Rhinolophus ferrumequinum: one gene and its partner. The protein of the gene in region 1 interacts with the protein of each later gene in a pairwise test. Links are inferred from orthologs where the notes say so. Each region holds a gene or a part of one and is shown on either strand. Other genes may lie near its edges.

The links.
Region 2: the proteins of EGLN3 (region 1) and FOXJ2 interact in binary tests that used the Homo sapiens proteins (3 or more experiments, as listed by UniProt). The two-hybrid records come from large-scale screens. The link is inferred for Rhinolophus ferrumequinum from reciprocal best matches to the Homo sapiens genes EGLN3 and FOXJ2.

The regions. Positions count from the first base shown.
Region 1 is NC_046289.1:82,388,704-82,405,069, reverse strand, and holds the start of EGLN3 (prolyl hydroxylase EGLN3), read left to right. Parts: upstream 1-7,716; 5' UTR 7,717-8,078; coding exon 8,079-8,435; intron 8,436-16,366. UniProt on the Homo sapiens protein: Prolyl hydroxylase that mediates hydroxylation of proline residues in target proteins, such as PKM, TELO2, ATF4 and HIF1A. Target proteins are preferentially recognized via a LXXLAP motif.
Region 2 is NC_046293.1:24,680,442-24,696,325, reverse strand, and holds the start of FOXJ2 (forkhead box protein J2), read left to right. Parts: upstream 1-9,007; 5' UTR 9,008-9,139; intron 9,140-12,299; 5' UTR 12,300-12,333; coding exon 12,334-12,373; exon of another isoform or gene 12,374-12,478; intron 12,479-15,884.

The DNA of each region.
Region 1 (16,366 bases):
TTAGGAGCACAGAGCTCCAACCGCCTGAGCCACTGGGCCGGCCCCCCTGGATTTTATTTTAAGTGCAGGGGTTTCACAAAGGAGAGTGACACCGTCTTATTTATGTCTAAGGAAGATTGCTCTGACTTCTGTGTAGAGAATGGACTGATGTGGGCAAGTCTAACAGTAAGGAAACTTGACAGAGACTGTTGCAGTAATCCACATGGGAGATGGGTTTGGACTGATGGTGGCCATGGAGACAGGGAGAAGAGGAGTGATTGGAGTTAAATTGGCGGTAGAATTGACAGTTGTTGGTGATTTGATGCAGGAACTGAGAGTACATAGGTGAATCCGTCAGTGTCCAGTTAGGAAACAGAAACCATTCTAGGTGTTTTAAACAGAGGGAATTTAACCTAAGGAAATTAGGTTATCTGTTAGAATGGTTTTGACTACTAATAGTTACAAAAGTGTTGGAAAAGTTGGAGAAACAGAAAGGGGAAGGTGTGGTAATCTCAGGTGGGCCTCTGCAGGAAGCCAGGACCACTCCTACGGCTGGAGGAAAAAAAATAAGCGGTGGTGATGCTATCAGAGCCCAGATGTGTCTGGCATATGACACTGTGTGAAGCTGCTGATGCTATTGCATCTGGGCCACTAACCCAGGTCACTGATGCTGGTGCTGGAACTGCTGAGGCTACTGGAGCTCTCGGCTGCTGTTCCTGCCACAGACACTGCCAGAAGCTTTGTGTTTTGTTTTTTTTTTAAAGGAGGGTTCTGTCCCTCATTTCATCCAGTTTCCCACCAGTGCTTCCCACTGGCAGCGTCAAACTGGGCCAGCTGGCGACGGAGTCTGGAAAAGGCAAGTCATCGGATTCCAGCCCCCTTCCCCAGAGCAGAGCAGAGAACGGCGGGAATGGTACTTAGTGCCAATAACCCAATGAATCCCATAGTGTTTAAAAGTATATATTTCTTTCTTTCTACAGCAGCAATATGTGCCCACTAAAGAAAAATTTAAAAATATGTATAAACAGAACATTAAAAACTGCCATATTCCTACTTACCCAGAAACAATCATTAATAACATCCTGGGCTCGCACTCTCTCTCTTTCTCTCCCACTCCCACTCTTTCTCTCTCTCTCTCTCTCTCAAAAAGGGATCCTTACTCTACTTTCGGTTTTGTAACCTACTGTACTAAATTTCTGCAATAAAACATTTGCTGGACATTTATTTTGTTCCAGCTAGCTGCCAGTGTTGAATATTTATGTTCTACTCAACATTTTCCTATCATAAACATAAAAAAGGAGTTATTGCTTGAAAACAAATTTGCAATTCAAGAAAACAGTTTATAAAGAATCAATGGTAACTTCCAGTTTTGACTATTATGAGATTATTTGCTTAGGTAGAAAGATAAAGTTATTTTAAACATAAGGTAAAATGTCAGGGCTTTCCCTACCCTGTTTATTTCCTTTGTTGAGAAGAAAACACTCTTTGTAGAATTTCAGAGCTGGAAATGCAGTCCGGAGGTGGAGAGGAGCTGTAGCTACAGACTGCACTGCAACCGTTCTGCCCTGTCGGTCTCCATGGAGTCAGACTTCTGATAAGAAAGGTGGTCCTCTGATATGTGCAGAAGCGGTGATACCACGACAAGGTGATACCATCACAAGGTGTGATACCAAGACAAGGTGTCTTTATTATGGCCACAAGGCAACTGTTTCTCTGATGTTATGTTAGGATGGTTTTGACTGCTAGTAGCTGAAAGCTATGACTGAAATTGGCTTTATAAATGAAGAAATGTATTATCTCACATGACCGGAAGTCCAGAGATAGGACAGCATCCTGCATTAGTGGGATAAGCTGCTTAGTGATGTCACCAAGGTCCCAAGTCCTTTCAACACTCTGTCCCACCTTTCTTGGTGTTGGCTTTATCCTGAGTCTGGCTCCCTTCATGGTGACTAGATGGCTGCCGGGGCCACAGAACTGCCTGTTTCCTTTCTACATGTTCGGCAGGAAATAATATAAATTCAATATAAATTCTTTTTTCTTTTTAGTTCAAGCAGACCAGTGGTTCACAGTACTGCTGTATTAAAATCAGCAGGAGTGCTTTAAAAATTATTTATTTATTGCTATCATTTCATTTTTGTTTGTTTATCTGCTATTTTATTTTTTGACTGCTGAGACCTAGGCTTTGTCTCTAGAAATAGTTATCAGTCTGGAGTGGGGCTTAGCTGGAGGTAGTTTTGAGGAGCTCCCAAGCGATTCTAATGTACAGCCAGGGCAGAGAACCACTGGATTAGGCTGCTTTAGGTCACCTGGCCATCCCTACCTAGAGGAACAGTTACCAGTCTAATACCATGATCTGATTGGCTGAGAAAAGTGGAGCTCAAAGTGTGTTCCTCTTCCCCTACCAGCAGGAGCAGCTCCTGAGAATCTGTTAGAGACTGGCAAATTATCTGGCTCCACCCAGACCTACTGATTTAGAAACTCTGGGGGTGGGGTTAGCAATCCGTGTTTTAACAAGCTTGCCAGGTGATTCTGATAGACACTGAAGTTTGAGACCCACTGCCTTAGACTAACTTAGGCCAAGCTACTTCTCTGGAGCCAGGGAGGAGACACATATGTGGACAAAAGCAGAAGTGTGTTGGGACAGTGAACCCAAGGCACCGGAGCCTTTAGCACTCCCTCCTCCCAAAACCAGGCCAGAGAGGGGAGGAGAGGGATCAGGACCTGAACACTGGAGACCCCAGGCTGTATGGAGAGGACCTCCCAATGGAGGTCCTCTGACACTACAATGGGCTGTTAGGAAGGAAGAAGGCATGTTCTGTTGGTAACCTGGGAAATCTCTACAAGTTTCTACAGGAGCTAAAGGGCTGAAAAGACTGACTTCGGACATGCTTTCCTGAAAACATTGTAAACTAATTTCAACCACTGTACAATTTCACCAGGCTCCTGGGAAAGGAAAAGACTATGAGGTAAAAACAAAGGAAATCTGAATACAATAAGGATTTTAGTTTATAATGTATCAATATTGGTTCATAAATTTATGACAAGTACCAGGCTAATGTCAGATATCAATAGGGGAAACTGGGTGTAGGGAATATGGGAACTCTACATAAATCTTATCAACTGTAAATCTAAAACTACTCTAAAATAAAACGGTTATTTTAAATAAGATACATTGAGATGTGAAATTCTAAGGAAACACCTTTGTAAAAGGTGTTATAAAATTAAGCATCAAAGTTTCCTTAAAATACTCCATGTTGATAGAAACAACACTGCTGTATTTTTTATGATTGAAACCATGTTTTTTTGCTACGTTTTAAGTCAGAGCAAATGCTTTTTAGACATTTTCAGTTTAAACAAGAGTTGAATTGAAAAATATTTATGAATACTTCTGATATCTCACACTTCCCAGAATCTGTACGTGGCCAGACTTATCAAAGAGCTAACGAGAGAGACTTAAACTTGTCCATATTCTTAGAAATAATTAAGAACCAATGTAGAAAGTCACTTTCTTTGCCATCCCCTTAGACCTGGAAAGAAGGAGATGCCTGGACACCACAGGGAATGGGACATAATCAAATGCCTCTTTCTCTAAACCCAATTCCTAGCAGTGAGCTCAAGCATAAACTCCCTTCAAGCTCTGTCCTTTTGTTTCACCAGCTCCATTTAAATTAAACGCACTTCTTGTGTCCTGAGGGGTGAGCCATGCAACCCAGCAGGCTGAGGTATAGCTCATTACCACAACTACTCTCAATAGACTACTTTCCATAGACAGTACATCACTGGAATATGCAATTCCTAGAAACACTGGGCCATCACTGGATTGGAGCAAGGAACCAGTCCTAATTTGTAGTTTGGAAGATTTCTATTAATATAGTCAGCTAAATAATTTATGGAAAGCTTTGCTTCTCTCCGTTTTCCACCAACTATGAGTAAGGAAACTGTTAACTACAATTGTCATTGCAAGTGAGAGTGTTATAATTAAGAGTTATAACAACAACAGCAAAAAAGAGTACTTACGGGCAAAAACATTGTCAGGCTAAGCAAGTGGCTCAAAATGATTTCCCCCCTGATCTTGCCACATTGGAATCTCTCAGATTCTGTCCATCATTGTTCTACTCTCTCACTTTGTGAACTTGGACAAGTTCCTTAGCTTCTCTATGCCTCATTTTTGTCATCTTCACATTGGGGAATAATAATAGTACCTATTTCTTGGTGGTGTTATAAGAATTAATCGAAGTAATGTTTGTAACACTTTCAGCACACTGCCTGGAATATGGTGTTACAAAAGTGTTTGATAAATTAATAAATAAGCTAGTCCTTGCCCATGTTAGAGTCATTCAATGTAATGATAAATCTCTTGAGGTATAGCATGGCAAAAAAACAAAAAGGAATATTCAGGGAAGGAGCCTCAGGCATGGCAGGACATTGAAGGGGCAGGAGAAATGTAGACAGTTTTCATGAGAAATAAACAGTGTGAGGGAACCCTCCCATGTTATTGGTGGGACTGTAAAATGGTGCAGGCTTCTGGAAAACAGGCAGTTCCTTAAAAAAGTTAAACATAGAATTACCACATTACCAAGCAATCCCATTCCTAGGTATATATACTCAAAAGAATTGAAAGCATCTTAAATAACCAAGAGGTGGGAACCACCCAAATGTCCATTAGTTTATGAATGGATAAACAAATGTGGTCTATCCATACAAGAATATTATTCATCCATACAAAGGAACAAAGTACTGATACATGTACAACCTGGATGAACCTGGAAAACATTTTACTAAGTGAAAGAAGCCAGACACAAAAGGTCGCACATCCTCTGATTCTACATATAGGGAATATCCAGAATAGGTAAATCCATAGTGGCTGAAAGCAGATTGGTGGTTCTCAGGGCTGGGGAATTGGGGAATAACTGCTAAAAGCGTACACGGTTTTCTTTTCGAGTGGTAACCATGTTTTGGAATTACAGAGTGGCAGTGGTTGCACAACAGTGTGAATGTACTAAATGCCACTGAATTGTTCAGTATAAAAGGGTTAATTTTATGTTTTGTTAATGTTATCTCGCTAAAAAAGCATAGATACCGAAATAGGATGAGAGTGAGTGCCCTCTGTGTTCCAGCAGAGAAGACAGAGTGTTCCGGGCTTCTTCTTCCACTCACCAGAGCCTTTATTTGAGAAAGTTACCTAACGTCGTGCCCCTCTGGGCCCTGGTTTTCTCATCTGGAAGAAAATGAAGTTGGACTTGGTGACTTCTAGGACCCCGTTTGGTTCAAATTCCAAGATAAAGAAATTTAACATCCTCCTTTTCTCCCTGTCTCCTCCACATGCTTGAAAACGACTGCATGTGTCCTGCAGATGTACACTGGGAAGACAAGGTTGTTGTAATTCAATTACAGGAAAATGAATTTGTTTTCGTTATTAATATGAAAAGTATCTTAATATTATTACAATGACACAAATTAATGGACAAACAACTGAAACAAATGCACTTTAACAATTAGCTTGGGGTTTGCCACTCTGATGTTCAGGCTCAGAGCCCGTGCGTGGCTCCAGCCTGTCTGCACCCCTCCGTGTAATCACACACTGTGCTTTTTGCCAGTCACGGTATCTCATGCTCCTCAGCCAAGTGCAGTGCTGGCAGCTCCAGGTGGATTGGGAGGCCCTTGATTGATTGATCGGTGCCCTTGCCAAGCAGGGATGGCAGCAAGAGATTGAATATCCTTCTAAACTGCCTGCGCTTTGCAACCAAAATATATAATCTAGAACAGTTTACGGCTATCAGTCCCTAGAATTTGCTTGTAGACTATTACTCTGGTTACAACTAGACTTGTTAGAACTTTACAATTATTGAAATATTATTTGAAGAGTAAGCCAAATTTACCCTGTCCTGGGATTTCAAGCCTTGGGTCAACATACAAGAATTCATTCAGGGAAGTGGGTATGTAATTGTCTGTATTTTACTCATCACTGCATGACACTGCCAGAGCTGAGCAGGGCTACTGAGGATGGGACATTGTGGACATCACTCATTTGTAGGGTCACCAGGAGTCAGAGCTGACTCAATGGCACAAAACACACACACCTCCTCTACCTGCTACTGCAGATTTTCCGGTCCTGTGTAAATTCCCTTCTAATTATTCCTAGGAGTGTCAGGTGTATCTGCAAAGAACCTTCAGCTAGAAAAATTTCAGCCAGCTACCAAGGTTTATCTGTCATTTCCCCCCTTTTATAATTCTGGCTTTCTGTAGGAATATTGAATTCTGAGGTCAACAACAGTCCCTAAAGCTGCAAAAACCAAAAGCCCCTGCTTACCTGGGCACACATTGTTAGGCACCTAGAAGCTGCTAGGTGCTGGAGGTGCAAGGATGTGAGCTCTTGGCATCATGGAGCTGCTGTGGGAATTTAGACAGACCCTTGAGGCAAACCTTTACCCTAGTTGTGTACCTCTGGCTGAAAGGTCATACCAACGGTGCCAACTAATTACCATCTTGGCAGAGAACCTCCTCGAAATATAGCTAGAAGTTTCACCAGAGTTTCCCACTGACTGCTCCTGTTGAACGTTCCTCTATCGCGTGCTTCTGTCTGCTTCTTTCCATCATGTAGCAGCAGTGCCCCTTTGCTATTCTACTTTTTGTTCTTGGTTGGACTGCATTGTATTCTTCCTTTCATATTTCTCCCCTTAGATGCAGAGAGGAGAGGACTGTTGGAAGGAGAATAAAAGTGAAAAAGCTGTATGGGATTGTGTACAAAATAAACGATACCTGTAAAAACTGTATATTCTTTTGATCAACTTAAATGAAACACCTGAGTGCAAGCTAATGTAAAATTAAACAATACGGAAATGGCTTTACATGCGATTCATGAATCTTTTCTCCCCCCCCCGATTTTGATCTCTGGTGCTCATTATGAAAGGGAATGAAAACATCCATAAAGCAGTCAACTTACCTTCGGATAGCTAAAAAATCATCTAGGCAATGTCTGTCCCTCCCATGTAATAGCAGCTCCTTGTGGGACAAGTGAGATAAGAGACCTAGAATATAGTCTGTCTTTTGCGGGACATACCTATACTGGCTGTTACATGAGCACGTGATTAAATTTGAAAGCAGGATTTCAGAACATTCATATTTTAGTAAACTTGAAAGATATGTAGATGAAAACAGCAGAGCAAAATCCAGTATTTTCAGGGTTCAAATATGATCTAGCATTTCTTCATTGTTCACATCCCCCTTCATTGAGCACAGACGGCCTTGAACATAGTAGGGGTTAGAGAAATGTTTGTTAATTTTAGTTAAAACTGTATTCCTCCCAGTCTAGTCTGTCAGTGGCTTGAATCTCCTGACCTGGGTCAAACAGCAGAGGAAAGGAGAAGGAAAGGCACCAGGTAAAGCTAGAACGAGATCATTGTTTAATATATTTTATTTGTTCCTGGGTTATGTTGTTCAAAAACTTGTGAAATGACCAGCCCGGAATGTGGCAGCAAATTGTGCTGTTGATTCCATTTACATTTTCAGAATTGGGATTCAAGTTTTCAAGTTTGTTCTGGGATTTTATGCAAAACATATGCAAATCGTAGCATTCTAAAAACCCCGTCAGTTCTCCAGCCCCGCCCCTAGTCACAAACAACCGCGTCTGGCGCGGAGCCCGTCGGGCTCCTCCGCGGAGTGGTAGACCTCGCGGGGGTGACCGGCCGGGGGGAAGGGCTGTCCCGGAGGCGGTCCCAGGGCGGAGCCTGGGCGGGGCCCGTGACGTGCTGAGTTGGCCGGCTGCCGGGCTGGACCTCAGCCTTTCCCCGCCTGGGGCCGCCGCGGCACCATTGGTGGCTCCGCGTCTCCAAAAGGGACCCTCTGACTCTTCGCTGGGCCAGTACAGTGCTGGGTCGTGGAGCTTCGCACAACTCCCGCTGGTCGCTGACCGGGATCCCTCCTCCCCAGAGTTGCGAGCAACTTTACCCTCTTCCTGGCGCTGCAGTGGCTCGCGGACCTTGGCCACCGCAGGTAGCTGAACCCGGACGACGCTCCCCGCGCCTCGGCTGCGCGCGCGCGTAGGTCGCTCTCTCTCTGGGTGCACGCTGGGGGTCCCCGAGCTGGGCTCTGCGGGCGAGATGCCCCTGGGACACATCATGAGGCTGGATCTGGAGAAAATTGCCCTGGAATACATCGTGCCCTGTCTGCACGAGGTCGGCTTCTGTTACCTGGACAACTTCTTGGGCGAGGTGGTGGGCGACTGCGTCCTGGAGCGCGTCAAGCAGCTGCACAGCAACGGAGTGCTGCGGGACGGCCAGCTGGCGGGGCCGCGCGCTGGCGTTTCCAAGCGGCACCTGCGGGGCGACCAGATCACGTGGATCGGGGGCAACGAGGAGGGTTGCGAGGCCATCAGCTTCCTCCTGTCTCTTATCGACAGGCTGGTCCTGTACTGCGGGAGCCGTCTGGGCAAATACTACGTCAAGGAGAGGTCCAAGGTAGGACGCGTGCGGGCGCCCCGCCGCTACTGCAGACGGGGGGGACCTTGGGACCGGGGGCATTCGGAGTCCGTTGTCTGTCGCCTTCGCAGGGCTACAAGCCAACTTTAGTTTTTAACCAAGAAGCAAGAAAGAAGTCAGTTTGTCCTCCCCACCCCCCGTAAAAATCCATGCTGAGGGACTCAGGTGTATAATTATAGTGGCCTTCTGTTAACTTTGAAATAAGGCTCTGGTGGGTGGTACAAGTCGGAAAAGCTATGGCTTTTTGGTCTGATTTTAGGAATTGGGGTTCTCAAAGGTCCAAACGAGGGACAGGTTATTAGAAACGTTGTGTTTGATCTGAGACACACGTGAACTCATCTTAAATGTCTGCTTTAAAGTCACCTCATGCCCTTTACTGATTTCAGAGGGGCTTCCTACCAAAGCACTCAAAGAAGCTGGAGACAGTTGTGATTTTGCAGTGTGGCATTTGGTTTGTGGAGTTTGGCAAGTGTGGGAAGAGTTTGCCCTGTGAAAGGGTAAAGCTCCTCTTCATTTTTGAGTGCTGCCCTTGGCTTGTTGAACCCGGGACACTTCCATCATCTACTTGATTGTGAAAATTCTCTCCTGGTGCCGAGCCTACACCACCAACTTCCCTTTCTTAATGCAGTTGATGGGGAATCCACTTAAAACAACCAGTTAAGCAATCCAAAGAGTAATCAATTACCTCTGGAAAGAAACCGTATTTTTGTTCACATAGACACATTTTGACTTGCTGGGCGTAAGTTAGCTTGGAAACATTTACAGGTAGATTGGCAGAAATATGGCAAAGTGTAGGACCATGATATTGGTGCACGTAGATTTCTTTGGGGTAGTCTAGATCCTCACTTTCTTTTACAGATGATCCAGCCAGTTTTCCAGTGGCAGTTCTGAGAATGATTTGCATTTCTTTTACTGTGGACTGGTCAAGGGGTATTCAGAACTGTAGAAAACTTGAACACAGTGAGGCAAAACGTACTAGTGTGAGAAGGAGGGTGAACTTTCTTCTGTGTACCATATATGTAACATTTCTGAAGTTAAGATTGATCCTGTAGTACAACATACCATTGTTGTCTCATTTGTCCCATAAGCTGAGAGGAGCACTCTTAATATAGGGCAAGGGGTTAAGACTGGAAATGTGTAGAAATGAAGGGGTTGGAGTGGGCAAATGGAATAAAGGCAAAATGGATTGTTGTACATCTTTCAAGCTAGGAGGACATGAATAGAATATCTGAAAGCATCATTATTAAATGGACACAAAAAGTAAGTCTTAGAAGAGCACGCTTTCTAACTTTTACTTTGATGTGGGGAAAATTCAGCGTTAGCTGGACTCAGTCGAAGATGGACATTAAAGTGTTTCTTTTCTCTTCCTCCATCATTTTGGTGATGGATTAGAATGCTGTTTGTCTTGATTGGTCTCGTTTTTTTTTTGCATCTTGCCTGTCTCTGGGGCGGGGTGGGGGAGGGGAATGGCTCGCCTCAGTATTGCAGATGTACTGTGGTAGCTTCAACCTGAAAAAGCAGATGGCTTCTTAACAGTTTTTTAAACTTTCTTTTAAACTTAGGTGTTAGGAATTTCCTCCACCAGCATTCTGGGAACAGAATTTGTTCTGAGGAAGATCAGAATTAATTGGTAGAAAGAGGTCACTAACATATTTGAACGTATTTATTTAGCTTTGACTATGAACAGTAGTAAGGTTTTAGGCTAGAATTTAACTCCACAAATTGAATGAAAAGCACTGTGTATGTCTGGATAAGGAAAAAAGATCTATAGATATTTTTCAATTATGGATTATCTTCTAGGTAGAACAAATAACTTTTCAGCTAATCCTTTCAGTTAACAGAAGGTGACTGTGAATGGAAAACAGAAAATTCATCTTTTGTCCACTGAAGAGACATCTGTCCATACCAAGATTTCTAGCTCTCCTTTGGTTCTTTTGGCACAAAACTCTTCATTCCTGCTGTTTGGAAAAATCACCTCTAGATTGGGATATTCCTTGGCCAATTAGAACCAAATGCAAACCAGGCTTGAGCAAACAATTATTATAGTAAAAAACTTAAAAAAGTTTGATTTGCTCGTATCCAGAAGTCTCTTTAGTAATGCCTTGTGACCTTGGATCTCTTGTTTGAAGTTTATTATGAAAGCATTGCCGACACACATTCCATTTCTACATGATTTATGTTAGTTTCACCTTAATTTAACCTTCTTATTTACTTCTCTTCCTTCGGCTGAGTGCTTTATTCTGTTCTGCTTCCCAGAATAGTGATATAGACCCAGTGTCCTGCTGCATCCCTCAAGTGGATTTTCAGCAAAAGCTGAATTTTTAAAAGGCAAAATATGTATGTTGATTTTAAAAAATCTATTTGTAACATTTTATTTTGAAAAATTTCAAACATATGTAAATGTAGAGAGGCTAGTATAATGATTATTTCAACAATTGCCTATACAGTTATTTATTTTAGACCAACTGTTTTAAAGGTACCTTAACTTTCTTGGGGTTATGCTTATTAATGTATTGATCCTCATTCAGTAGTTTTCTCCTGGATTTTAAAAGGCCATTGAATAATGTAATAAAACCCTTTATCAATGAAGCAATAGCAAAGGCATTGGGAATAAAATACAAATATATACTAGAATTGAAATTGAAACTGTGGAAGAGTATGGAAAGAAATAATAAAGGTTTCCCCCTTCTTGCCCCAAAACTTATTGCTGGTCAGAATTTATCTGCCTTCACTGTTGGAGAAAAGTCCTAGGGTGCTGAAGACTCTCTGGGAAGTGGCTTCTTATAATGTAGTACAGCAGTATGGCGCCCCCTAACTTCAAGCATGATCACTGCTTTCAGACTATCAAAAGATTTCTTATCTGTTACTCTCTTTTGGAGAATTTAGACCATCTCCAAGATAAATATTGGTTATAATTTGCTCCTTTTGCTTTGGCTGCCTAGATCTTGAAAATGGCTGTTTTCCAGAGAACGCGTAATTTATAGAACCAGAAGTCCTTCTGCTTGAAGCATCTTACTGATAGGCTCACTAGTTAGTATCTCTAATAATAATAACTACCTTTTAATGAGCAGTTTGCTCTGTCTGGCACTGTGCTAATGAGCACTTTACAAATACGACCTGTCTGACTTAGTCTTCAGAACTACAATCTTTAGCAAACTGAGTGATGAAATGGTTTGCCCAAAGTCACAAAGTCAGTGGTAAGAGATAGTTTATCATAAAGTTTAGGGGCTTAGGTTGGGGGTTACTAACCTGTGGTCTCAGGTAAGTTGCTCAATTTTCACCGAGTGTTAAAATGAGGGATAATAATACCATAAAGCTTTTCAGGGGAAAGAGCATGAAATAAAATGATGTACTTAAAATTCTTAGCGGAATTCTGAGCTTTCATCTATGTTACAAGACTGTAAAAAGTTTGGGATTCTAACCCAGTTCTGACCGACTCCAGAGTTTGTGTTCTTGACTATGATGCTCTTCCTTTTCATCCTTTCATTTTTCAGCAAATGCTCCTCAGTGTGGGGTACTGTGCAGGGGTTGGGAATACAAAGGTGAACAGGCATAATCCCTGCCTCATGGGGCTGACATTCACTTTTGAATTGTAGGATCGTCTAGTTCACACTTGATTAATTCTCAAGCCTAAAAAAGAAAAAAGACAAAACCCAGACAATGAAGTGGGTCAATTAAGTACATTTGAAGAAGAAAATGGCGTGCTGTGCTAATGTTTTCCTACTGTTATTGGCAGGAAAAGTGTTTATTAAAAAGGTTGGTTGTTAGGATCCCTGACTGGAGTAGTTCTGGAAGATGGGGTTATGGGGCTTGTATTGTGAACAGACAGATCAGTCTTCCCTTTAAAACAATGCAGAGACATGATGAAACAGCAATAAGTTATGAATAAAAGAAAATATGTTGCAAAGTGGTGGGCTTGTTCCTTTGCTGTTTAGCAATAACAGTTTTGGTGCAGCCTTCTCATGTGATGTTAGAACTATCCGTTACACAGTGGGGTATTTCACGGTTGCAAACCACTTTAAGCAAAAAGGAGATCATAGTTTTTGAAAATCAGGATCTCTCTTAGGATCCAGGTGCAGGGAACGCAGTCATGGTTCACAGAAGACAGGAGCTGTGAACTAGGAACCAGAAAGTCCTTAACATCCAGGACAGCTGGTGTGTTAGTTTTTTCCCTCTGGCGCTTTATGGCCTCCATCTTTGCTTCTCTGCTGGTGCCCTTAATTTCTTCCCCTCTCTACTTTCCATCCAGTTTTTGCTGCTTTTCCGTGCACATGGCTCAAAGTGGCTGCCCCACAGCCTCAGTTTGAGATAAATAGGCACTTGACCAACATTCTAGAATCCCTGTTTTCATTCCCTAGGAGAAAGTATGATGGTCTTGCCTTGCCTCAGGGGACCCATCCGCCTTGGTTGCAGGTGGTAGTGGAGCAAGTAGAATCATGTGTCGCAAATACGGTTGCCAGAGCCCATGAGAAGTGCAGTACTTAGAGCATGGGGTTTGGGGACTAGACATTGTCAGCAATTAAAATCTTAAAAATCTATCTGTCACTGAGGTATTTTAGGGGGAGGAGGCACTGGAACATCTCTCTGTAAGGATGTGAGGGATTCCTATAAAAGGTTTTGTGTTAAAAATAACTTAGCTCTTGGAGGAAGGAAATTAATCCAAGGAAATAATATACAGAATACAGCCTCCGTGACAATGAAGCAAGTTTCTCCACTGGGTGGTTTTCATAGTGTTCCTTATCTATTTTGTTGAATGACACTTGGGAACAAAGAAAAGAAGATTGGTGTGTGTGTATGTGTGTGTGAGTATGTGTATGTGAGTGTGTAAACTTTATCATTTCTTTTGTTCAATTTTGGGCCACTGGCCACTCCACTACAACTTTATCTTTTTGCAGTGAAGTGGGAAATCAGGGAGGTATTAATTTAATTTATTCATTGACAAATCATTAAATGTTGTGACTGGGGGAAAGGAGGTGGAATGTGATTATAAAACCACCTCAAGAAGCTGAAAGTTGAGTGGTATGAAATAGTTGCCACCAACTTTGCTTTCTCTTTTTCTGGTTAAACAGTCTACTTTTCCATTGATTAGTCATTTGTTTCTCTTCTTTGGGCTTTCTCCAATTTCTCTATTTATTTAAAATTAAGTGACCAAAATAAGTGACCAAACTACATAGGACTTTAATGATGCAAGTTTTTAGAGCTAAGAGGTATCAGAAATCACATCTATCCAATCCCTTAATCATTCAGCAGTTTTTATGTTTGGAGAGATGAGGTTTTGCGCAGGCCCTTGAGAAAGGATTGGGGTGAGTCTTGGGCCTAAGCACAGGTGCTTTAATAGAGAGGGGCTAGCCTAGCTGGGGTTACCCCATAAGTCAGGTAGACTGGGAGACAGGGTTGGTAGGTTAATTCAGCTGTATCAGCATTTTATTTGGGAATTTCAAATAGAATTCTAACTTAAAACACCCTTCGGTGGAATTATGCAGCCTACCTGTGCATTCGACTTTTGGGTGTCATGAATTATTTCCCTTTCTGGCCTCTCTCAGCCCAGTGCACATTGGTACATTCTTTCCTGATTCCTGATTCTGGCTAGAAAAATTTCAAATTCGGTAAAGAACAAGCAGCCATGCATGTTTCAACTCCTTTCTGAAAACATACCACTTATGGAAGACTTCTCAGGTGAAGCTTAAAGGTAGGGGTGGAGTTTTATCAAATCATGAGCAGAGCACCTCTGAGAAGCAGCTCCAAGCACCCCTGCATCTTGCATTTCATTATGAAGATCCGAGGGCACCTCGCCTACGGGCTGTGGGCTGCCGTTGCTCAGTTTGGCAAGACCTCTGCTTTTGACTCACTTTTGTGGCCTCAGGTAAATTAAGTGACATTCTGACCTGTGCGTATTGAATACTAAGGAGCAGCGTGCAGGTTAGCAGTATGGAGAAGGTTATTAATTCTTTGTTAATTATTACAGCAACAGATTTGATCATTCCTTTGTAGGAGCACCTGGTCGCTGTTAAGCAATATTGCACCAAGAAATGGGTGTCATTTTTCTCTAGTGTTTGTCAAATGCACATGTTGTTCTGACAGTAATGACAGTTCAGATGTATTCTGCTGGGCAACTGCCAGGGGTGCCCAATGGGTAGCTGAATCCAGAGGCACTGAAATTGTAAATGCGACAGACAAATCATTTTATGATGCCAGACTAAGGAATTTGGCTTTGGCAGATTGCCAGGAGCCGTTGATTTGGCTCAGATTCAGAGCTATGTGTCTGTTTGCCAAGCGAGATTAGTTAGCTTGGTTCATTATACATAGAATTTGTACCTTGTTCCCCTTGATGATTTAAATCTTAAACCAGTATGGCACTTACCTTAATTTTATATCTTCTTTTGATACTGGGATTTGTGGATGAGTTCCTGTTTTTGTTTTTCAGTGAGCTGGTAGTGACTGTTATATTATCCACCCCATGCGCCAGCCCTCTCCCAGCCTTACAGACACACTGGGTTGCAATTGTATAATGCAGGCTTTCAGATCTCTTGTTGGATTGATACCGTACCTACGTACTGAATATCCTCCGTGTTCAGTACAATGTTAATACCTCTTTATTAAGTCAAGCCAATTTTTGATTCTTTAGGAGATACAATGATCAACGTTTCTCAATTTCTGGAGTGAATGTACCTATCTCATTAAATATTGTTTTTCCTTCCAAAATGGGGCTAACATATTATCATCATGTAAAATTAATTCTAAAATACAAAGAATCAAAGAATATGACAGAAGTCGTGATTATTTGCCAGTGGGAAGAAGACAAAATGAAAAACTCAGTTCCAGGTGTCAGTGACATCTATTTTTGGTTCTCTAGGGGAACTTGAAATATTCAGGATAATACTACTCTTCTATTTGAGTATTGGTTGGAAGTAGTAAAGATATACTGTTTACAACAGTCTGAACATCTTTGGACCTTGCTCTGTGTTCTCCAGACACATAGAACAAAGAATCTGTTTGTGCCCCTCCCTGCGTTTCCCCTCCTATTTCAACTCATCTAGCTAGTCCAACCTGAGGGACTGTTACTCAGAAATCTCAATACTCCACACAAAATTGACAGTGAGTCTTTTTTTTGGGAGAGCTTCTTTCCTATTCATATTGTTTTGTAGGTTAATTTGAGTGATTGGAGCAGGTAAACAAAACCTTTTTAAAACACAACATAGTGAAGATTCCAAGCAGGAACATGCAATATTGTCGGTCGAAATTTGGCTGATTTTATGTTTTTGCTTTTTTGTTTGTTTGTTTGTTTGTTTTTAAGGTTCACTGTGGAACCTCAAGTTTTGTCTTTATGTATGTGTGTGTGTGTAAACTAAATTTTGTTTTGCTTTCATAGTAGAAACCCTTGAGAAGGTATTTCTCTCTTTTCTTTCTTTTTTCTTTGTTTTTTTTTTTTTGTTTTTAAGGAAAGTATTTCAAAGAGACTTAGTTTAACCACAAACCACCTGCCTTTTGTTCTTGTTCACCCTGTAATCCATTTTAATGTACTTTGCCAGAGTGTAAGTCATCCAAAACCCAACTCGAATTGTGCAGTCTCCATGCTTAAAAAACAAAAACAAAAAACAAACTATGCTCTCTCACTATTGTCTACTGTGCATGCTGTGTGCACTTTCTTAGTGTGCCGTTTAAGACCCTCCACTTCTGACCCCATCTGACCCCAGTGACTTTTCTACACTTAATCTCTTGCTCACTGCCTTCTTTCCCTCCCAATCCCTGAAATGGTAGAAACTGATTTGCCAAGCTAAGCTCCCCCAATACTCAGCTCCCCCATTGTCTCCCACTCTTCGGAATCCATATTAGTGCCTTCTGTGTGAAGTTTCCTCTTCTGCTTCCTACAACTCTGTGGGTAGCTCAGTGCAGGCCACCCCAGTACATTT
Region 2 (15,884 bases), on another chromosome or scaffold:
GATTATTTATAAATTTTGATCTATCAATAATTTGCACACTCAAGAAACTTGAAAAATAGAAGTGAGGCAGGGGCCACCTCCTGGCTGCTTTGGTTGTGGCTGGCCAGCATGGTCATGGGATGTTGAGTTTTTCTGCAGCAGTCTTCCAGCATCCCTTCACATGGCCACTGAAGGATGTTGAGGTGGTGACAGCAACAGTAGCTTCCGGATTCCTGGATCACAACTAGGGCACTGTGTTCTTGAACTCAACAGTTTCAGCAATAGTCTTCATTCCTCCCCTTTATGAAACTTCCCTGGTGGGAGAGTTTTAGTAGTCTCATTCTTGGAGCCATTTCTGAGATCAGCAATGACCATGCTCCTCCAGTCCTTCCCATGATTTTTTTTTTTAAAGCATCCATGTCTCTGTATTAAGGTGTTTTCTGTTTAAAACAAAGTGGTTTCTGTTTATTGCAATCAACCCTGACAGGATACCTGACTGGGCAATAGTAAGTACATTGTCCCTTCTATGCCTCTACCAGCCCCTCCTATACCTCTGCCCTGCCTTCTCCTCTTCTTTCCATAAATGCAAAATGCAGTATGATCTGGTACTTTCATCTCTGGTTTTCTGAGGCCTTGTAGCTGTTCCTTGGGGTTCTAGAGAGGAAAGAAATGCTTGATTGCTGTTTCACAAGAGGGTGTTAGGGGAGGGGAGAGAGCAGCTGGGCTCCAAGAAAATTCTTTTAAGGTCTAAGAATCTAGTATCTGACTCAGTGTCTCATAAGTTTTGCAGCTTCTTTTATGCATTTGAGATTAAGGATGAAACTAAGGAACATTACATGGTAGGAGAAAGTAAGGCGGGATTGGATTACAGGATAGTTAACAAGATTATGTGGTCTCTTGAGGGTGGTTATAACTTATTTCAAAGGTGTATTAACCTCGATGCACACATGCTGGAGGGTTGGGATCTGTGATTAGGAACAATGACAGTTTTTTTTTTTTCCTTCCTTAGATTTGGAGCTGGGGTTTAACTTCCCTCAGAGACAATTTCTGCTTTGGCTTATTGGGCATCATCAAAGGGAAAGTGACTGCTATCTGTGCATGAATTATTAACCTAAAAATCATTTTGTATGTTTCCACATAATTCATGTAACAGTAGGAATGTGGATGAAAAATGGGGTTCTGTGGAAAATAACTTCACAGGGTAATTTCATCATAAATTGCTAAGTGGGCGGTCATGGTGGGTAGTCATGCACCCCGCATATAACTTCTTTAATAAAAGGTTTCTTTCTGCCTAGGTTAATACACCTTTGAAATGCCTCTTTTCAGACCCATCCTTCTAAAGCAGGACCACCCTCAAGAGATCTTAACTTATAATCGGATCCCTGCCTTGCTTTCTCCCACACTCATGATAATCTTCCTTACATTCCCTCCCTAATTTCAAATGCATAAAAGAAACTGCCGACTGTTATTCTCTGGAGTATTTGATATCTTACTCCCAGGCATATGGCATCAGTTTGGCTCAAATAAACTTATAAAAATTCTCTACATGTTTGGACATTTTTTACATTGACAGGAACAAAATGCACTTCTCTCTCATGAACACAATCCTTAAAAATTTTCTCAACAGCTCTGTCTCTCCCCACCTCTGCCCTTTGGCATAAGCAACATATACCTTATTATGCAGAATTATTTGTAGCCTACTAATAATTTTCCCATGGTACTTTCATTATTGCAAATATAGCTGCCTCATATTCCTCCCCTTATTTCTAAACAATTGTCAAAATGATACTGAAGAGCAAGGATGATATATTCTCTTGTAAAGGATCTGGCTTAGAAGATCATAAAAAGATGGGATCGCTTCGGGTAAACACAAGACATCTGTTACTGAATCTTGACCCATCGCTCTTGCAGGGTCCTGTAGTGGGGATAGTTATTATGCTAATGGGAAGTTCTTTCACTGTTCACTCAGTTTCAGAGCACAACTTTTATACCATGTTAAAGCATTAATGAAGTCTAGCTATAAGACAAAATCTAGATTTGGAAAACAAGTGTACACCTATGCTGGGAAAAAAGTGATTCCATAATTTATAGTATAGATGGTATTTCTCAACACTCAAATAGTACGTCCTTCCTACCTTTTAATCTCAGATTGAAGGTTAAACACGCTATTTTCCATTCATTGCTTGTAGAGGACATCTTTTCATCTAATCCCAACTGTCTTTTCAATCTTTCTAGGTAGGCAAGTTGAGGGGAAATCCGTTTTCAAATTTTAAAGGCCTTGGGTTTTCAAATTTTAAAGAGAAAATGGTAGCATTTTCACAGGTAGGCAGCTTCCCAGGTATATCTACAGCACAATTTCTGGCTGGATTAACCCAGGTGGTGAGTGTGAAACATTTCTCCAGGATCATAAAATTGGCACAGATACCTTTAAAAACATATTCTAAAGGTCTGGCATCTTTAAAATTTGTCCAGTGTATTTTATAAAAGTCTTCTCATTCTGGTTTGGTTCAGATCACCTACTATGTACCCCACACTGCCAGGCACCAGATATACCATGAATAAAATACACTGTTAAGCCATATTTAGGCCAGGAGCAGAAACCTTATCTTAAAAGCCATCGTGTCTTGATCCTGTTATGCTTTATATCCTACAAGCCTGTGATCAGCGGGTCTGGGTGGTTCTGACGGCAATCTGGGGCCAGGGTGTGGAGCTGGAGGGCTAGGTCATGCCCTGAAACCCTTTGTCAACAAAAACCCCCTGAAACATTGAAGAGGGAACAGCCTGGTTTACCCCCTCCTATAAAACTCCATAGCCCTCTTTGCTTGGGGAAGTTATGGTCTTTTCTAGCCTGACTTCCCACAGTTCAAACACGCCAAATAAATTCTAATAGACCAATTTTGGTCTCCCGCAACTCCTTCCTCTGGCCTTGCCTAACACACTTTCTATCAAAGGAAGTTTTTGTATGTGATTAATGCCCGTCCTTCAGACAAATTTTTACAGTTCCTTTACCTCACCCACCCTCTCCAGTTATTTTACGAGGTTTCTTTAGGAACCCACCTGCTTGGATCCTGTGATCCAGGGTCGTCATCCTTAGCTTTCCATCAGAGGGCCTCAGTTTCCCTAACCTTTCCTAAAGGCAGGGTTAAACCCCGTGCTTTCCCTCTCCTCCGTCTCATTCATTCTTTTAGGTAACAAGTAACTAGAAGTCTGGGACCAAAGGCTCATAAGAATTTATCATGTATATTCCAGAAAGCAGGGTATACGCAGACTTCTTTGAGTAAACAGGAAACTATCAATCCCATGCAGGAAATGACCTTGTTTGAGGGCAACGAAGGTGCCGCCGGTTTTCCTTTTTCCTTCAGTTTCCTTCTAAACTCATTTCCGGGTTTCAATCAATTTGGTCCTCACTACAATAAGAGTCCAGCTGGCTTTTCCAAGTCCCACCCTAGATAACGTCCCTCCCTTGTTTTACATCGCTGCAAAGCTCAACCAATCAGTAGTTGGGGTAGGAGGTACCAAAATAATCTTCACTTCCTCCCCAAATAGCCACTCCCCACTCTTGCGTCATTCTGATAGATTACTGAGGTAGCCAATCAACAAGCAACCTTGGGCCCAGCCTACCTTAAACCCAATCAATTAAAATGAAGAAGGGGAATTGGGGCGGAGAATGAAAAACTTGCCCCTCTTTTGGAAATGGTTTGAAGAGGTGCGTCCGCACCTCGTGAACTTAGATTTTTCGACTAGCGATCATAGCTTACTATACATCTTAAATGCCCCAGTTCTGTCCCTCTTCGACCCCACCCCAAGATGAGCCCCACCCCTCACACCCTTCCCCTCCCCCAATTCAGTGGAACACATCCCTATCCTGAATCCTCCGGAAAAGAACCAAACCCCATTGCCACGGGCTTTACACGCTCCTCCCCGACTCCGTAGAGTAAGGAAAGGGAGAGACCCTACAGCCCCTGGCGACAGTCTTTCCATTCAGTGCGTCTCTCCCTTCCCCACGTTCCCGAGTAGAAGCTGACACGGGAGTGGGAGGAGCTGAGTGCTGGCTCTACTAGGGGAGCGGCTAAAGCTTCTTAAGGTGGAACGGAACGGTGAAGTGGCTGGGCCTCAAAACAACCAGGGTGTGACGTCCTCCTGCCTCTCAATCTCGCTTCCCACAGTTTCTCATCTCTGTTCCCTCGCCTTAGTTCTAGTCTTATTTGTTATGAAGAATAAACAGGTTAGATAGAGGATATAAAGTTAAATTAATAAAACAAAATAATAAACAAGTAAAGGAAATACAAACCACAGAGAACTTTTCCTTTATCATTTAATTTCTTCTGCTGTGTTCTACTTTTTTCCCCGAGATTGCTTTCTAAAGTAGCTAGCTAGAATTTCTCTGATGTGCAAATGTAAGCTCAAATTTTGTCTGATAAATCTAAGTGAATCGTTTTGTATACTGTTTATTCTCTCCCCAGTGAATCTGACTACAGTCAAGGAAGCGAGGACCTTGCGTGTAGTGGCTGGAGGTATCTTTTATCCTTTTACCACCGGTCCCTATAGCTGAAAGAGTGGAGGTGGCCTTGGCAGTGTTGGCTCTGGCTCTGTGTTCTCATTTGTAAAATGGGGATAATAATACTTACCTCCTAGGTTTAGTGTGAGTACCAAAACACATAGTGTAAATGAAAATACGGTGTGATCTGAAAGGTGTAAATAAACATTAGATGATATAAATACAAATCATATAATAATAAACATTTACATTGTTCTTGCTATGTTCCCGCACTTTTTGAACAGTATTTTAAAAAACTTTATTTTGTAAAACTTCAGACATACAAAAGTAGAGAGAATAGTATTATATTTTGTAAAATGTTGAAATAAGCAACACTTGGCCAAGCTTTCATCATCTATGCCTTTCTCCCCCATCACTTGATTAATTTGAAATAAATTTCTGGCATTTCATGACTGACTACGCCTGAACGCAACTTTAAAATATAAAGATTCTTAAATAATCACACAATTCCATTAGCACATCTAAAATATAACAATATTCTGTGATATCACAAAAATCAGGACTGAAATTTCACCAATTGCTTCATATTTGTTCCAGCTGCTTTGTTCAAGTCAGGATTCCCCCCCCCAACTGTCTACATATTGCATTTGATGGATATGTCTCTTGATCTGTATATATTACATTTGCTTTATGTGTGTTTTAAGCCTCTTTTAATCTCTAGGTTCCCCTTTTCTGGTGCACTTATCTAAATGCATCACATGCATGAAGTCACACAAACCCTCCACAACACTATGAAGTAGGTACTATTATTATCCTCATTTTACTAATGAGATGTTGAGTAACAAAGCAGTTAAATGACTTAAATTCTCAGTTATTGAATGCCAAAACTGGGATTTGGATACATGAATCTTATGCACTATACTATGTTTCATATAATACACTGGTCTTTAAAAAATGCTAACAAAATGTATATTGTGGCATATTCACCAATATTATGAAGAAGCATTTTGCTCAAGGTCGGCTGACACTCATGTAGAATTATATAATATGTTCTGTTATAGAGAAGGGTGGATCCTTACATTTTGATTCCTTGCATGTTTCAGTGACTATATTTTTGTTCTGCTTCATTTCACCCTCCTTAATAGAAAGTAAAGGGAGAATGAATGCTAGTGGTTCCCCGTCTTAGGGCAAAACCAAAACCAAACCAACCTTATAGTTTTTTTTTTTAATTTAAAAAATTACATGAGCAAAAACCATACAAACACTAATTACAGATATAGTAGAAAATGAGGTATAAATTAAAATAATCTTGAGGCTCACATCTTTGGTGTCTATCCATCTATATATGTATATACACAAATACATACATATACATATACATATTTTAAAGAGCAACTGTGTGATCGTATTATACAAACTTTTAAAACATTATTTTCTCACTGGAATATATTCAGATAAATGAAAAATAATTGGTTCTTTAAAATAACACGTGCCTATCGCAAAATATCTAAACGGTGAAGAAGATAGAAAAAGAAAAGCGAACTCCTCACTAATTCTACTTTCCAAAGTTAAATACAATTACTACTCTTTTAAAAGCCAAGTAGTATTCTACTATATAGATATACCATAGTTTATTTAACAGTTACCCTATTATGGACATTTGTTTCTAAATTTTTACAGTTGCAAATAATGCTGCAGCAAATATCTTGTATATATCAAATAAGTTTTTGAGGTTTTTATTTTTCTAAATTTCCAGAAAAAGAGATTCTAATCCTTCCCTAGCTTTCCCATTTTTTTTAGTACTTCCACCTCTCTACTCTTGCCCCCCAAATTCCATATACATACATAGAAAATGTCAAAAAGCGTTGAGAAAAGAAGCAAAACATCTAAACGTATACTAGCAAGAAACATTTGATGCCGAATTATCTGTGCGTGTGGGAGGAATATGTTGATGTTTCAAAGAAGGGGGAAAATACAGCTTTAAAACCTGATATTGGAAGGGTAGGGAGAAAGAAAACGCTTGACTGGGATTCACTTCTTTTCAGTTTAAGGATGACTTTATCCCCCTTTTTTTTTTTTATTAGTTTCAAATGTACAATACAATGTAATAGACATTTATCATTTATATCCCTCACACAGTGATAACCCCCCTAAGGATGACTTTTGATTCTGACAGCTAAGGACAATGGCACAGAAGTGAAGAGCTGGGTCTTTAGGGTCGTTTGGATTTGTTAGTTTAAGTCCTGACTTTGCTACTTACTAATCATGTTATTTAGACATAGTCAATATCTCTAAGTTATAATTTTCTCATTTATGAAATAGGTATAATAGTGCCTTATTGGACTTCCAGAAGAATTAAATGTAGTAATACATGCAGAGTGCTTAGCTCAATGCCTGGCATATTGTAAATATAATGTAATTTTATGTATGTATAATTTAAGTAAAATATAATATCATATTTAGCCAGAAGACAAAATACTTTATCTAAATGTGAAATGTAGTCAAGCTGTAATCTCGAATATGCAGACTTTTTTTGAGCAATTCAAATATTTAACGCATAGTATTTTTGCTGTCATATTATTTTATGTGATAGAAAATACAGGAGAGTGAGAAAAGTTGAATAGGCCAGAGGATGCAATATAAAAGTTTGCAGAGGAATAATGTGACTCCAAGAGGAAAAGTATAGGTGGAGTCCGCTCCCTGGTGGCATTTTCTGTCTTGGGTGGGGACTATTCTGTAAGGGGCAGAGAATGAGAACATTCTACACTCTGTGACCAGAATAAGATATGTTATAGGGTCATCAAGCGAAATGAACGAGTCTTATTTTGTATCCTATACAGTTAAAAAGCATTTTCACATAAACTATTTTCTTTGCAACACCCGTTAGTAGACACGGCGAGTATCAAGGTCTTTCTTCTCTTTGCTGACCAAGATTCTAACAAGGGCCTTGCACAACTTTACAAAGCTAGATTTTATGTTTAGTTCAGAGTTATCTCCGTTACACACTCACTTGTCTCTTTATACATTCATTTATTCAACAGTATTGATTGAATTCAAGGATGATATGAGGGTAACTTCACCCCAACCCTCATAACCCTTTATAAACTATCTCAGGGGAAAGAGAAGCCCACCAAAAATATTTCTGTGAAAAAAGGAGATATTTATCTGTACACAGACTACAACAGAATGAAAAAAGAGGTGAGCGAACCAGGATTAGTGTTAACTTGGAATTGATAGTTCGTGTACAGTGTGAACGAGACAATCTCCGGATACAGAGCAGTGGGTCGTCTTGGGTGGATGGCAAGCTGCATGGAGGGAAGTGGACAGGTAGCGGCTGGAGAGCAGCGAGCGGCGCCGCGCGTTTCCCGGGAGCCAGAGTACCTCGGCGCGGCTTTCCTGGCGCAGCGCCCCCGGGCGGCGCAGCCCGCCGCTCGGCGCCTCCCGCTCCTCCTTAACCCGCGCAGGGAGGCTGCGGCGGCGGCGGCCGGGCGGGCGGGGGAGGGGGAGGGGCGCGGAGCGCGGCGCGGAGGCCGGGGAGGAGCCGGGGCCTGCAGCGGAGCCGAGCCGAGCCCGAGCCGAGCCCTGACACTGTCCGTCCGCCTTCTGGCTCCTCGGGAGCCCGGACTGGCCGGAGCCCGAGAGGTGGCAGTGCGGGGAGCCCCACGCGCGAAGGGAGCGGACTGGACGGGACCGGACTAGAGGAGGCGCTGCCGCCACAGTAGCCACTGACGGGAGTCCGGAGCCGCGGCCTCTCGGACCCGGTTGCCCAGGCCGGCCCAGGGAGAGCGGGGAGTACGAAAACCCCACCCTCTGGGGCACCCCAGGAGCGGAGGCAGGAGCGGGGACGGGAGCCGCCTCGCCCTGTGGAAGAGAAGACCCTTACCATCCGGGCGAGGGAAAGAAGAGACCCTTATAGGGGACGAGTCTCTCCTTCCTGGAGACAAGAAAAATCCCCACACTGGCCCGGGAATAGATCTCTAGAAGTAGAAGGGGGCGATCCTTACTAAAGGAAGCAGAGTGAGACCGCCCCGGCGTGCCTCCACCCCTCCAAACACACTCTCAACACTTCGGGACTTTTGAGGCAAAGAGAAAGGGGGTATGCCTATGGAGTAGGCACTCTCCATCCTCTCCAGTAATCACGGGAGAGGAGTCTTACATTCAGAAGCAGAGGACACTCCAGGGAAAGAAGAGGAATCGGCTTTCAGCTTTTCGGGAGAGGGGAAGAACTCCCCCCTCAACTTCCTTGTACCTAGACAGTGGAACAGGGCAGAACCCCTGCGCTTAGATCTCCGTCGGGCAGAAAGAGCTCTCCGCTCCCGAAAGATCCACTTTGGGGGGGAGGGGGACTCCCCCAAGGGGGAGGAGACAGCTCCTGGTTGGGAGAGGCTCCTCCCCTCCTCCCCAGGGTATCAGGCGGAGTGTGGGGGGTGTGCCACCTTCCCCAGGTAGGACCTCCTTCTCCGCCTCCCCCCGCTCCACCTCCCTCTGCTCCTCATCCTCAGGGGACCCAGTTCCCCTCCCCAGCTTGGGAGGCTCAGCCAAGTACAGCAAGAGCCACTGAGGATGAGACTCTTCATCTGCCTTTGAAGAGGGGAATCCCTCCAACCCCTAACTGCAGTACCAGGGGGTTCCCTCCGTTTGCTGGGGGATCCTTGGAGACAGGTTAGTGCATTCTCTCATCTTCTCTCTGTCATCTTTAGGTACTAGTGGGTGTAGGGGAATGAGATGGTGGCTCTTGGGTTCATTACTGGGGAAAGTAGAGTGATAACTCAGAGAATCTCTGGGAAATGTATTCTGAGGAAGCTGCTGGATTGGAACCCACATCTTGCTGAAGAGGCTCTGAGGTTTTTTAGTGTTTGGGACTAATAGGATGGGATTCATCTGAGGTCCCTAGGGAAGTGTATGTTGCCATGCTCACAGCAAAGGGATATCAGAGAATGCCTGCGTTTTCAGAACTCCATTCATACTGTATAGCAATGATTGACATATCCCAACCAGACTCCCATACCACCCTCCATCCTTGGGCCCTCTCACTCCGAGAGTGGGCCCTCACTAAAGTCATGATGGCATTTCATGGCCTGGCCTTGTTTAGGGCTTCCATTGGTATTATATTTTCTTATCTGCAACCCTAGGTCGGCTCCACCAGAGCTGCTCTCTCCAACCCACTGTGATTGCTGCTCTCTTGACAAAAAAAGCAGTCTGTCCCCACTCCCCATAGCTCAGATACCGAGAGGCCTCCTTTCGTGATATTCCCATGTCTGGCTGGAAGCATGTCTCTACCAATAGAATCCAAAGGGATATGGGAGTCCCACATGTCCCGAGACAAGAAGTAAGGGCATAGGGGAATGCCAACTCCTGGGTTGAAGTTCTTCCTTAATGCTGACCCAGTACCACTGCCCCAGTTCCCTACCCGCCTCCTGTCCTTTGCTGATAGTTCCTTAAAATAAAATAAAATAACATAAAATAAAATAAAATAAAGTAAAATAAAATATCAGATCCTGCATAGGAAGAGAGGAGTGAGGAGTGTTCTGCTCAGTCTCCTTCCAGTCTTCCATCTAAATAAGGTGGCCACCAGGGAGATTTGACCTCTGAGGAGTTTCCTTTCATAAAAGCACCTAATAATCATCTCCCTTCCTGTTTCTTGTTCAGTTCTGGGTCTCTGGAACTTTGTATTTAAGTTTTCCTTCATAAGATAGGAGTCCAGAATCTTCAGAAAATGCAGGGGAAAAGTGCCAGGAAATCCTTCTCTCTGAGTCTGGGCTATGTGTTTGGTAGAGCTCTGCCTTTCAACCTGGCATCACTAACTGGGTGCCTGCCTCCCTGCTCTGCCATTAGGAAATATCTTCTGTGAGGGGTATTACATCCCACAGCAAAGCCAAGTAAGAGGCTTCATCTTGCTTGGGATTTTATGTTTTCTCCTCTCCTGTCTGGGCCATGGATGGACTACTTAAGTCCCTAAGTATATCCACTTGGTCCTGGAAGCTACCTGTTAGTAGTGGTATAGGAGTTTAGGAGACAGGGCGGGAACCCAGGTTTGTATGGATGTTTCTTAATTTAGATGAATGTGGCTCTGTATCTGTGTTTCGAGTAGGTATGTAGCTCGAGACAGGTTCATGTGTGCTTTTCAGACTAAGCCTCCAATTACCTAGAGTTACGTGTTTCTGGCAGGACTCTAAAAGCAGGTGCCCCTGTGCAAGGACCTGGGGAGGGTGCTGGTTAGGATACCCAGCTGGGAGGAAAGGTGGCCTCCCCTGGCCAGTGGGAGCCCTCATGAATGGCTCTGTAAAAGTCATCCCAAGCAGCAGGACAGCCCAGTCTCAGGTTGGGACCCCCTCTTCTAGGACTAATAAGAGAGCTTCTTTCTGATATCTTTGATCTCAAAAGCATGAGGATCCTTGGCTCTTAACCCTAGAACTCCCTCCCCAACTTTTTGAAGAGCTGGCTTTGGTGTAACAGCGGTCTGTTTCTTACAAAGTACTTCACCAGCTGCTGGAATGCAACTTGTTGAATGGCTCAGAGTGAAGAGCATCACACCTGCAGGTGTACCACCACCACACAGCTTCCCTGCTTGCTCTGAGGTTCCCTAATTCTCCTTGCCCTTGTGGAATCATTTAGAAGCACATGGCTATGGGGCTGAATGAACTGTGATTTAGAGATACTTAGGTGATATTCCCCCGTTCCTTCATCTTTGGAGTTTACTTTGGAGTTTACTTGGTCCTGGCATTGGTCAGCAATGGGGTGATATGATCCCCAAAAAGAAAGACTTGAGATTCTGACATCCCGAAAACTATTGCAAAGTCAGTATTGCAAGGTAAACCATTGCAGGCTTTCTGCTTCCAGTCTAACCTATATGATCGGTGAGTTTTCTAATTTTTAATTTCAAATATTTTCTTTTATCCCCATTCAAAAATAATCATAGCTACACTTTCTAAGTGCTTTAAAAATATTAACTGAAGGTAATCTAAACAACAACCCTATGTAGGTACAGTTATCATCTCTATTTTGTAGATGAAGAAACTATAACACACAGAGGTTAAGTAACTTGCCTGAGGTTGCACAGCCAGTAGGTAGTAGAGTGAGGACTGAAACTGAGGCAGCCTGAAATGTGGTTAACTTCGCCACTGCTCTATTGATTTTTTTTTTGTTTTAAGATTTTATTGGGGAAGGGGAACAGTGTGTACTTCCAGGACTTTTTTTCCAAGTCATTGTCCTTTCAATCTTAGTTGTGGAGGGTGCCGTTCAGCTTCAAGTTGTGGTCCTTTCAGTCTTAGTTGTGGAGGGCGCAGCTCAGCTCCAGGTCCAGTTGCTGTTGCTAGTTGCACGGGGCGCAGCCCACCATCCCTTGCGGGAGTCGAACCGTCAACCTTCTGGCAGCCTTGTGGTTGAGAGGATGCACTCCAACCAACTGAGCCATCCGGGAACTCAGCGGCAGCTCAGCTCAAGGTGCCGTGTTCCATCTTAGTTGCAGGGGACGGAGCCCACCATCCTTTGTGGGACTCAAGGAGTTGAACTGGCAACCTTGTGGTTGAGAGCCCACTGGCCCATGTGGGAATCGAACCAGCAGCCTTCGGAGTTAGGAGCATGGAGCTCCAACAGCCTGAACCACCGGGCCGCCCTGCTCTATTGATTTTGGCATTATATACAAAGCAGGAAGTTATCACTCCTTAATACCTGACCTTGGTACCATATAGAGAACAATTACTGGCCCTTCAGATAAAATGGGAAGAAAACTGGCTATAATTTTGGCTCTAACACATCTCATCCAGGATCAGTTTTACACTCCAACAGAATGTTTTTTTGTTTTTCTCTGCCTTTCTCCCAGTACTACAGTCTTCATTAGATGTCCTGTGGATGTGATGGAGCCTGTCCTTTGGCTGCCTTTCCCAGTTTCTATGGGTATTTCCTTTCAGTCTTCCAGCACGCAGAGAAGAATGTGGCCTGACTCAGGTTCTGCCCAAGCCCAGTGGCACGAGGCCCACCTGGAGAGGTCTGGGTAACTAGGTTGGTTAGACTGAGAAATGGAAGTATCTCTTATTTGCCTTTCTAATAATAGCCTGAACATTAGCCTCATGCCATTATTTTGGGGAGCATGGAATGTGTGGCCGCCACAAGCTCATTACACTTCATTCACTTCCCTGCAGGGATGAAGCTTTGGCAGTGTTTATGACTTCATCCCTTTTATTGAAGGGGGAAACTGAGGCATCAAGACTTCAGGGAGCAAGGGGTGGCTAGGGACACTTAGTGTATCAGCGTCAAGGTTGGGAATAGAATGGAGGAACCTCAATCTCTGAGGTTCTTCGCACTGGGCTACCCTTGAAGAATGGGGAAGTGACGGGCGTGAGGAAGTGGGATGGGTTAAAGAAGAATGGTGCTGAAAGATCAGAAGGATCTTTTGCTGCAATCTTCTTGTAGCTGGTAAGACGAATATATTTTGAGTGCTGGGGCGGTATCTGGAGGGCTGACTGGGAGGGTGCTGGAGAAAGGTTAAATTTAACCTCAGTGTCCTAACCTGGTGCTGTGGTAAGGATAGGGAAGGACAGAACAACTAGCAAAAGGCTGAGAGTGCTTCCCTTTCGGGAAGTCACAGTTGGCATGTGCCAAATGGGTTCCCTAAGCCCTCTCACTACTTGAAATCCACTCTCACGCCCCTGTCCAATGTTGGGTGAGTTTCTAATGAAATATCCACTAAAGGCTTCTGTGTTCTTTTTTTTTTTTTTTTTTTTTTAAGATTTTATTGGGGAAGGGGAACAGGACTTTATTGGGGAACAGTGTGTACTTCCAGGACCTCCCTTCAAGTCAAGTTGCTGTCCTTTCAATTCTAGCTGTGGAGGGTGCCCTTCGGCCTCAAGCCGTTGTCCCCTCAGTCCCAGTTGTGGAGGGCGCAGCTCAGCTCCAGGTCCAGTTGCCTGTTGCCAGCTACAGGGGACAGGGGGCACAGCCCACCATCCCCTGCAGGACTCGGAGCCATGGGGAGGCAGCCCAGCCCAAGGTGCCGTGTTCAATCCCAGTTGCAGGGGGCGGAGCCCACCATCCCTGCAGGACTGGAGGAATAGAACTGGCAACCCTGTGGTCGAGAGCCCACTGGCCCATGTGGGAACCGAACCGGCAGCCCTCAGGAGTTAGGAGCACGGAGCTCTAACCGCCTGAGCCACCCGGTCGGCCCGGCTTCTGTGTTCTTAAGCTGAGCTTTCCTAGAGAATCTTTAGCAGGATATTATAGGAAATAGGGTAAAACTTCTTTACAGTCTTCCCCTTGTGGGGAGGGCCCAGGAGAACCCTGGTCATTGAAAACCTGCTTGTTGTCATGTTATTGTCCAACTGGGGTAACCCAACTATGGGACCTGGTTACTGCCCAAAGTGCCTGCTTTACCCCAGAGGCTGTGGTGTTTTGATTTAGTACAATGCTAGGAGGTCTGAGGTTTCCTGGAATGATTAAATGCCCCTATTAGTTTCTAAGCTTCCATGGTGGTGGGATGAAAAGGAGGGTGGTGAGGAGAGAAGAAGATAAGGATAAAGGGGAAACCCCTTCCTGAAGCTATTTATAAACATGGATTTTTTTTTCCCCCTTCTTCTATTAAGCAGTTCTTGGGTTGCAGTTGGGTCTCTGATGGCCCAGGCCCCTGAGGCACTAAAGGTGTTTCCTTCAGCCCTATTGAGTGGGCGTGTTGCTGGTGAGGAGCAGGGCAGGGTACTTGTGTGTACCTGCAAAGATTGCATGGGTGGGGACCTTGAGGGAGAGGGCAATGAGCATGAATGCTGACCCTTAGGAGAAAGGGATAAGCGTCAAGGGGAGAAGTCACTTACTAGAAGAGTGACTGATAGCCTGAAAGATGTGTTGGAGTCAGGAGAGGGGTAGGCAGCCATAGCTAGGATGAGCTTTGAAAGGCAAAGTGTGTGGATTTGTGTATAGTTGTATGTATATGCTTGTGCATAGTAATAGTATCTGGGTGTGGATTTAGAGATTACATAGGTGATATGTTTAGGTTCAGGATTCTGAACTCTGAGGCATGCTAGAGAAATGCCCTGTGGAGGGACTGTCCACAGGGATAGGAGGAAGAAAGACTAGTTGGAATCTGGAGGCTGTGCAGGCACAAACCTGTTAGGCAGCAAATGCTTAGGGGGTTGCTGGCATCAGCTCTAGGGGAGTGCCAAATGGCTACCAAGGGGTTCCTGCCAGTCTTTCTAGACCCAGCAATACAAATGTCACCCATCGTTCTTCTCCTTCCCCCACCGAGACCTCACTCCAGCTATAGCTCTCTGCCAGTAAGAGTGCCCAGGCTGTGTGGGTGGAAGCAGGGCGTGCAAACATCAGGCGTGGGCGGTTTGGCAGCACCAGGAGTTTGCATGGAGGTGCAGCGAGCTTGCGTGCGTGCATGGCTGGGAAGGAAGGAGAGAGGAGGAGGGCGGGAGAAGGGGAGCCAGCTCCTAGCCCCAGAGTTGCTATTTTTAGCCAGGCTATCTGATTGTTACCGGTGCGCACTCAGCTGGGTGTCTCCCTGGCTCAGTGAAGCCCAGCAGGCTCAGAGGTGGGAGGTCCTTGTTGATGACTTCTTCCTGGTGTAGGTGTCTGTGGGCGGGAGCTTGCAAAAGGGTAGCTTTCAAGGTGTGAGGGCAGCTGTACTCAAGATCTGTTACCTCTGTGTGTGACTTTGTGCTCTGTTGGTAATGTGTACTGTATAGCTAATTGTGATCTCTGTGTTTGTGGGGTACTGTTTATGTGTTTGTCTCACATCTGTTCTTTGGTGGTTGTCAATGATTGGGATATATCTAATATGCTTCACATGCACGTGTGTGCCAAAAAGGGCAAGTTCTCAAATATATCAAATATGGAATATCTTTAAAAGTGCCAAATATCTTTAAAAGAGCCAAATATCTTTAAAAGTGTGTTTCATTAGTGTGTATTTCTGTTTACTTAGACTTCTTTTTAACATGTTCACTTGTTTTTCTGTAGATGTATGTAAATTATCATGTGTCACATAATTGGAGAATAGACTGACTGATTTTGTCTGCTAAGTGTTTTTTAAAAATTATTTTTAGTTTTAAAATGTTATGTTGTAGAGCTTTAAGTAAGGAGAACAGAGAGAATAGCTGAGTTTGGTGGGTGGTTTGATCTCTCTTTTAGTCCTGCATGAAGGTGGAGGCCTCTTGGCTATATTCCACATTAAGATGTAGAATAAGTATCAGTCTATCATCTGGTAGATGATTGGTGATACCATGTTTTCCCGAAAATAAGACCTAGCAGGACCATCAGCTCTAATGCGTCTTTTGGAGCAAAAATTAATATAAGACCCAGTCTTATTTTAATATAAGACCAGGTATAATATAATATAATATAATATAATATAATATAATATAATATAATATAATAGCAGGTATAGTATAATACAATATAATATAATACAATATAA